2 linked regions of the Rattus norvegicus genome follow. The protein of the gene in region 1 purifies or fractionates together with the protein of each later gene. This does not show direct contact. Links are inferred from orthologs where the notes say so. Each region holds a gene or a part of one and is shown in the gene's direction. Other genes may lie near its edges.

What was found.
Region 2: the proteins of Stk11 (region 1) and Cops3 purify together in Homo sapiens (affinity purification with mass spectrometry; 5 studies listed by BioGRID and IntAct, with this or other methods). This does not show direct contact. The link is inferred for Rattus norvegicus from reciprocal best matches to the Homo sapiens genes STK11 and COPS3.

What each region holds. Positions count from the first base shown.
Region 1 is NC_086025.1:10,239,149-10,243,569, reverse strand, and holds the start of Stk11 (serine/threonine-protein kinase STK11), read left to right. Parts: upstream 1-1,604; 5' UTR 1,605-2,426; coding exon 2,427-2,716; intron 2,717-4,421. UniProt on the Homo sapiens protein: Tumor suppressor serine/threonine-protein kinase that controls the activity of AMP-activated protein kinase (AMPK) family members, thereby playing a role in various processes such as cell metabolism, cell polarity, apoptosis and DNA damage response.
Region 2 is NC_086028.1:45,130,938-45,134,583, reverse strand, and holds part of Cops3 (COP9 signalosome complex subunit 3), read left to right. Parts: coding exon 1-75; intron 76-173; coding exon 174-223; intron 224-2,411; exon of another isoform or gene 2,412-2,479; coding exon 2,480-2,572; intron 2,573-3,646. UniProt on the Homo sapiens protein: Component of the COP9 signalosome complex (CSN), a complex involved in various cellular and developmental processes.

The sequences.
Region 1 (4,421 bases):
ACCCGCGTTTGAATAGTGTGTGGAGGGGAGTCGCGCAGGGTGAGCACTAGCCGTTCAATCATATCACAACCCTCATTTTCATACATGCAGTTAAAAAAGGACACGCCTATAAAAGTAAACAAGTTAAATTTTTATAGGAAAGTGACCAAAACCCAAACCACCCCAAAATACTGCAACACAGTTGAGATGAGGCCAGCGGCCACATCAATCTTACCCAGACATTTTTTTTTTCTTTTTTCTTTTTTTCGGAGCTGGGGACCGAACCCAGGGCCTTGCGCTTCCTAGGCAAGCGCTCTACCGCTGAGCTAAATCCCCAACCCAGACACCTTTTATTTTTTTTAAAAGATTTATTTATTTATCATATACAAGTACACTGTAGCTGTCTTCAGACATACCAGAAGAGGGTATCAGATCTCTTTACAGATGGTTGTGAGCCACCACGTGGTTGCTGGGAATTGAACTCAGGACCTCTGGAAGAGCAGTCCATGCTCTTAACCTCTGAGCCATCTCTCCAGCCCCCAGACACCTTTAAAAAAAAAGATTTTCTTATTTATTTTATGTATGTGAGTACACTGTCACTGTCTTCAGACACACCAGAAGAGGGCATCAGATCTCATTACAGATGAGATGCGAGCCACTATGTGGTTTCCGGGAATTGAACTCAGGACCCTTAGGAAAGCAGTCAGTGTTCTTAACCACTGAGCCACCTCTTCAGCCTACCCAGCCACTTTTTTTGACAACTGTTATTTAAAACTCTGTGTGTTGTGTGTGTACGCGCGCGCCTGCCACGGAGCGTTTAGGATCAGAGACAAACTGTGAGAGGCATTTCTTGCTGTCCACCTTGTGAATTTACGGGGTTCGAACTCATGCGGTCAGACTTGACGTCAATCGTACGCAGCCGCTGAGCCATCTCACCAGCCCAGCGGCTCTTATTTTGCACACGAAACGCTCCTCTCTATGGCACCAGCTTGGGTCTATCCCCACACTGATCTCAGTGGCTCCAGGTTCCGAAGTGTCAAATTTGGGCTACTATTTGACCTTTGACTCCGCCCCCAAGGCCGTTAAGAACAAGCAGTGGCTAGATCACTTTAGGTATCCAGGAGTCCCTTTCTTCCCCCCACCCCCACCCCCCGCACCATGCCTCCAGTCGCGGCTGTTCCCAGAGGACGTTGACGCGCGTGAACTCTAACCCGAGGCACGAAACTCCGAGGTCACCACCGGCAGCCCAGAGATTTCGCTGGCCAGTCGCACTTGCCGACGGGCGTCTAGGACAGCCACTTACAGATAAGATCCCGCCCACACACACCAACCAACTGCCGAGGGGCGGGGCTTGAAGCCACAGCCCACGGCCGCTCCCTTACAGTCACTTGCTTACTCCAACTCCCATTGACCGGCGTCTGAGACTACCAATGAGAATGTAGATCACGCCTTCACAAGTGGAACCCGAGCTGTCCAATGTCAGCTCGGGTGCCCACCCAGATCCAAATAGTCCAATCCGCGTTGGTGATTGCGGCGGGTTCGAGGGGTGGGGTTTAAAGCTACAGCCAACTGCCGCGCACGTCGGCTCCGCGAGGGGGCGTGTCCACCGTTGAGACGTGCGACGACGGCGCGGCGCAGGGCGGTAAACAAGATGGCGGCGGCGTGTCGGTCTAGGAAAGGGGAGGCGGCTCACAGCGCCCGCGAGTGAGGCGCGAGCCTCCGAGGGCGGTGTCGGCGTGGAGTTTTCTCTCGCGGACAGCATCTTTCTGCCTGAAGTTCGACTCCCCCCTCGCCGCTCCGGCCTCCTGCCTGTCACGCGGCGGCTAGGCGGCGAGGGGGACGCGCCGCCCCGGGTGGTTTTCTCCCCCCATTGGTCCCCCGAAGATTTCCTGTCCCGACTTCGTGCCCGCGACTTGTGGGTGTCCCGCGTCCGGGTGGAGTTTGCGCACCGAGAAGTCGTGGAACTAAGGGAACTAAGGGGCCGCGCGCGGCGTCGGCGCGGGCCGGACATGGACGGAGCGGACCGTCCTCGACGCGGCCGCCTGGGCCCCTGAGCGCGGGGCCCAAGTGGCGACCATGACCTAGCGGCCCGCGCGCCGCGACGGCGGACCGTCGCCTCCGTCGGAAGCAGCGTCCCCGGGGACCCGAATTAGGGGGACGCGAGGGTTGGGGGGGCTCATTGCTTTTTTTTTTTTTATTCTTATTTTCATTTTTTTTCTCCCTGAGCACCTAGAAGAAAAGGGGAAAATCAAAAGTGAAGAATTGGCGCCCAGGAAACGGACGTGGACCCGGTTGTGGGGACCGGGAGGGTTGTGGAGGTCGTTCCTTCCCCCCCCCCCATTCCTTTTTTTCCCCTTCTTGAACATTTGGAAGAAGCGGGTGGGGGAAATTTGAACTTGAAAAGAATTGGCGCTCCCGAAGGGGACGAGGACAAAGAGTGGGCCAGGATGGACGTGGCTGACCCCCAGCCGTTGGGCCTGTTCCCCGAGGGCGAGCTAATGTCGGTGGGCATGGACACCTTCATCCACCGCATCGACTCCACCGAGGTGATCTACCAGCCGCGCCGCAAGCGCGCCAAGCTCATCGGCAAGTACCTGATGGGGGACCTGCTCGGGGAGGGCTCGTACGGCAAGGTGAAGGAGGTGCTGGACTCCGAGACCTTATGCCGCAGGGCGGTCAAGATCCTCAAGAAGAAAAAGCTGCGCAGGATCCCCAATGGCGAGGCCAACGTCAAGAAGTAGGTGCCAAGGGCCTGGGGCCGACGTGGGTGCTGCTGCCTTGAACTCCTTGGGCAGCCCTTCCTCCACTTTTTGGCTCTTCACTTTCCTCTAACCTTCGTTCCCTTCTCTTTTCCTCCCCTTTCCTTTCACTATCTTATCTACCCAATCTCTCCCTGAGCGTCACCTCGGGGGTCTGTGTGCTGGGGCAGCCGGTAGGACTGTCCTAGCGGGAGGTCGTGTGGCCGACTGTGCCTCCAGCCCTCCTCTTTGGGCCAGGTCCTGGCTCAAGTCAGGCCTGCCTTCTTTGGCGGGCGTTGCCAGGCGGGTGGCTCGTTTGTTTACACAGAGGGAACCGGCAGGGCCAAAAATAATGGTGATTTGGGGTGAAAGGGGGTGGGTAGCCAGCCAGTGCTGGCCCGGGCCCCTGCAATATCCTGCCTAGTTGGCATTGCTGGGCCGTGGGGACTCTTTATCGCCTGCCCGGCTTGGCGGAACTTGGGAAACTTCACCTACCGGCTTCCGAGAAGGGGCCTTATCTTTGGGGCCTGCATTGGCGACGCGCTGTCAAACTGACCTTGCCTGTGGTCCTGTCCCAGGAAAGGCTGTCTGGCAGCTTCTTGCTTTTGCCAGCTGTGCACTGTTCTGAGTGGTACCCACAGGAAGGCAGGCAGATACTCAGGAACCGATGTGTGGACCCAGCGGTGGAGCCAGGCGGGTGGGGGGTGTCCTCAGGATCTGCTTTGCCTTTTTTTTTTTTTTAAATATTTATTTATTTATTTATTTCATGTATGTGTGTACACTGTAGCTGTCTTCAGACACACCAGAGAAGGGCATCAGATCCCATTACAGGTGGTTGTGAGTCACCATGTGGTTGCTGGGATTTGAACTCGGGACCTCTGGAAGAGCAGTCAGTGCTCCTAACCGCTGAGCCATCTCTCCAGCCCGACTTTTTTTTTTTTTTTTTTTTTCCGGAGCTGGGGACGGAACCCAGGGCCTTGTGCTCGCTAGGCAAGCGCTCTACCGCTGAGCTAGATCCCCAGCCCCCCTGCTTTGCCTTCTTTGTAGGAGTGGTCCTAGGTTAGTCTTGCACTGGGGAACCGTGGGGACCCAGCGTCAGGTGTGCCTTCAGTGAGTTCGGAGGCCTGAGCTGGGGAAAACCTGGTTGGAAAATTTGTCTGTAAGATGGAGGTGCCATAGGCTGCTCCTCTCTGGGTGGTGACTGCTGACCTCCCAGGCAAGTGGCCGCTTTGGGGAAGTACAGCAGTGACAGTGTGGGCTTAGAGAGACGCTGGACACAGCCCACTGGACGTCAGTAGGGTGCTATAAGGAGCCTGCACTGTTCCTCAAGCCAGGAGTTGGTCTGGGCAAATGGGTACATGCAGTCGTCATAGTGCTAGAGAGACTGAGGGAGGAACATTGCTTCTGTTTGTAGACCAGCCAGATGCATGGGAAAACTTGGTTTCATGAGGAAAACGGGTTGGTAGGATGCTCAGTAGGTAAGTGCCCCAAAGTCTGGAAGGTGAAAGCAGACCCAGCTCCTACAAGTTTGCTTTGACCTCCATATGTGTGCTGTGGCACACACACACGTACACACACATGGGCAGGAAAGATAAAAGCCAGGAGGAGAAACTGAGGCAAAAGCTTCGGACTGGCAAACTGCCCTGCTCTGAGGTCCTTGAATGGCAGGACACAAAGCCAGGTGTTTCTAGGGGAGTGCTGGTG
Region 2 (3,646 bases), on another chromosome or scaffold:
AGACACTGTTCTCACAGGTGCAGCTTTTCATTAGTACTTGTAACGGCGAGCACATTCGATACGCAACAGATACGTGTAAGCTAATAATACTTCCTCTTTTCCTGGATGAACTTTTCTTTGCAGTGTTTATATTTTCAATATTTTGTCATTGTCTTTGTTGTCTTTGCATCTAGTCGCTGGGCTTTGCCATCAGCTAACAAACGCACTCGTGGAGAGAAAACAGGTGAGAAACAGTCAAGTCGTTCACGTTTGCTGCAGTGCGTGTTGGACTGACAAACCAGTCTAGAGAAGGCTAGGTTCAGTACTCAGCATCTCAGTACTTAAATGTGTGTGCTTCCTTGAGAGCAGCCTTTGCTACATGTGAGGCCCCCAGAAGGTGCCTGGTTGTTTTGAAACTGCAAGTCTGGGCTGGAGGTGTGGCTCAGTGGTAGAGCAGTTACTTGGCATGTATGAAGTATGTGGTTCCATGCGCAGCACTGGAGGAAGAAAAAAGCTAAAAACCTACCTGTGCCTTTGTGTTACCATGATGCTATTTCTTGTTTTTCCCTTTCAGCTTTTTAATTAAGATGATTTCACCTTATAGAACGCTGAAAGGATCTTCCCTATGATGATGTCTTATGTGCTCTTTCTTGACTTAGATTCTCCCAGTGTTAGTGTTTCACAGCACTTGTTTCTTCCCTCCCTCACTGTTGGGAAGTCAACTGTAGATGTGTCCTCCTCGTCTAAATACTTCAGTGGGTGCTTTCTACGTTCTCGTGTAGCCCACAGGGAGGATGGGCAGAGCCTGGAAATGGATGTTGAGATAATGCTCAACGAAATCACAGACTGGCCAGGTGTGGCCAGGTAGATGGTTGATGGTCTCTGCAGAAAGCAGAGGGCAGAGCGTGGGTGGACACACTGATGTTGCTCTTCAGTTCTCTGTCACCTGCAAACGTTCTTAGACTTTGCCTTTGGTGATGCTGATACAAATTATAGTTTGTTTCTTTTTGATTGGGAAGTGAGAGGAAGAAGCAGAAAGAGCCTTCCTATTCTTTAGGAGCTAAATAATTTGATTAAAAGTTGTGGGGCTGAAGAGATGGTTCAGTGGTTAAGAGCACTGGCTAAGGGCACCAGGCCCCCTCATGTGGTGCATAGACATACATGCAGAACATATATATACATATACATTTCTTTGTATATGTATATATGTATACATATACACACATATGGATTATACATATATGAATATATGTGTGTGTGTATATACATACATACATATACATACATGTATGTAATATATTTTTAAAAAGCTGAGTAATCCCAGCACTTGGAAGATAGAGACAGGAGGTTTATGAGTTCATGGTCGTCCTTGGCTACATGTTAATTCAAGATTAAACTGGGCTACATGATACCCTGTCATGGGGGATGGGAGATACTACTGTCTCTCTTCTGAGTTTTGAGAGGAGAGCTATTACCAGCCTCTTTATTGAAAAAGCTATTAGCCAGGTGGTGGTGGTGCACACCTTTAATCCCAGCACGTGGGAGACAGAGGCAGGTGGTCTCTATAAGTTGGAGGCCAGCCTGGACTACAGAGTGAGTTCCAGGACAGCTAAGCCTACACAGAAAAACTATATCAAAGAACCCATTCCCCCAAAAGCAGACAAAGCTATAAAGTTATGTAGGTATTTTATAGCTTTATCTTCTGATCTTCAGAGTTAGGCTTTACTTGAGGCTGAGTGCTGTTGTTTGTAATTGGAGGCAGACGACAGTTGGCTTATGACATGTGTTTATAGAGTCAGTGGCTATTTACTCTTTAGGGCTAATACTCCCCTGTGAAAACATGCAGCACTGTCATCCACAGCAGTAATTTGTGGTAAATGATACAGAAAAATTATCTTTGCTTAACAATTAGGAAAGTACTCTAGTTTTGTATACATGTGTGTGCACATGTGTGCTCATTCAGTGTATGTGGAGGTCACAGGCTGACATTGGATGTCTTAATTTACTCTCTGTCTTGTTTTTGAGACAGAGGCTCTGACAAACTTGAAGGTCTTTGGTTGTCCAGCCCCACTAGCCAGCCAGCCGGAGATCTCTCTCTCTCTCTCTGGCTCTTCAGTCCTGGAATGCTGGGTGCATACTGCCACATCTGCTGTGCATGGGTCTGGAGCCTGAACTCCGACCCTGGTGCTTACATGGCAAGCGCTCACCAGCTGAGCCATCTCTCCAGCCTCAAGGAAGCAATGGTTTACTAGTGATAGTCCTTGTCAGAGGGAAAACAGTTTTGATTTAAAGTATGATACTGAAATTATCTTAACTATTCCAAGAAACAAAGCGTTTTGTGACTGAATAGACGCAGACATTTCCTGACATAGTGTGGAAATCTTATTGCTATGTAAGGAACCTATCAATTAGTGTTGTTTTTTATTTGTAAGTGACAACATAAGATCCAATGTGCTGCCAACTTTGAGAACTTATCTGAAAGAGATGTCATTTCTGACAGCCCCTTCGAGGAATTGGCATCCTTAAGCAAGCCATAGACAAGATGCAGATGAATACAAACCAGCTGACCTCAGTACACGCCGATCTCTGCCAGGTATGAAGCTTGAGTATGCAGCGGCATGCTCAGAGATGTGAGGCTGTTCTGGGCCTGCTCAGAAGATGGTGGGTGAGGGTGGTGCTGTAAAGGTTGAGCTGTGTCAGGATCATTGTGATGGTTGGAGCAATGTATGTTTGAAATTTAAGTCATTTTCTGTTAAATTATGGAACTTAAGTGTGAAAACATGGGCAACTTTTTATGTCTTAAAACATTATTCACTTATTTTATCCAAAAGACTCCCCAAATTGGAGATATATGATGATATCTCCCTCATTATTGCAAGAGGTAGTTCTCTTCAGAGAAAACACACGTTAGTACTTTCTTGTGCATTTCTTCTACAGATACTTTGCACATACAGGCGAATACACACGCGCGCGTACGCACACACACACACACAGATACACACACACAGATACACACACACAGATACACACACACACACAGATATACACACACACAGATACACACACACAGACCCCTTTTCTTTAAAAAAAAAAAGCCCCCCAAAATCCCAATCTATGTGAATTTTCATGTATCTTACTTTTGCCTATTTAATGCATATCGTGGAGGTGAACCTGATCTGTATTACGCTACACCATATTCTGTAATTTGAGTAGGTCATCCTGGAACTAGACTGGAGTGTCTCCTGGTGTGGACTACTTTGGACACCTAATCTTTTTTCTTACATCCTCTTCCACAGTACTTTTATGACAGCAATAGCATATACTTAATTTTATTTTACTTCATTATTATTGTTGTTTATTTGTGGTTTTGTTTTGTTTTAATAAGGCCTCTCTACGAAAACCCTGGCTGTCTAGAACCCTAGAACTCATGTAGTCATGTAGATACACCCGTCTAGCCTCAAACTCACAGAGATCTGCCTGCCTTTGCTTCCAAGTGCTGGGATTAAAGGCGTGTGTACAGTACAAAGCCTGGTCATACCTATTTTTTTATTCACTTTAAATCTTGATCGCTGCCATTCAGGCTGTTGGGTGAGTGCAGACATCTCCACTATTACCATGGTTCACATCACTTACCTTGTGTGCTTGCTTTTCGTACTTGCACACTTTT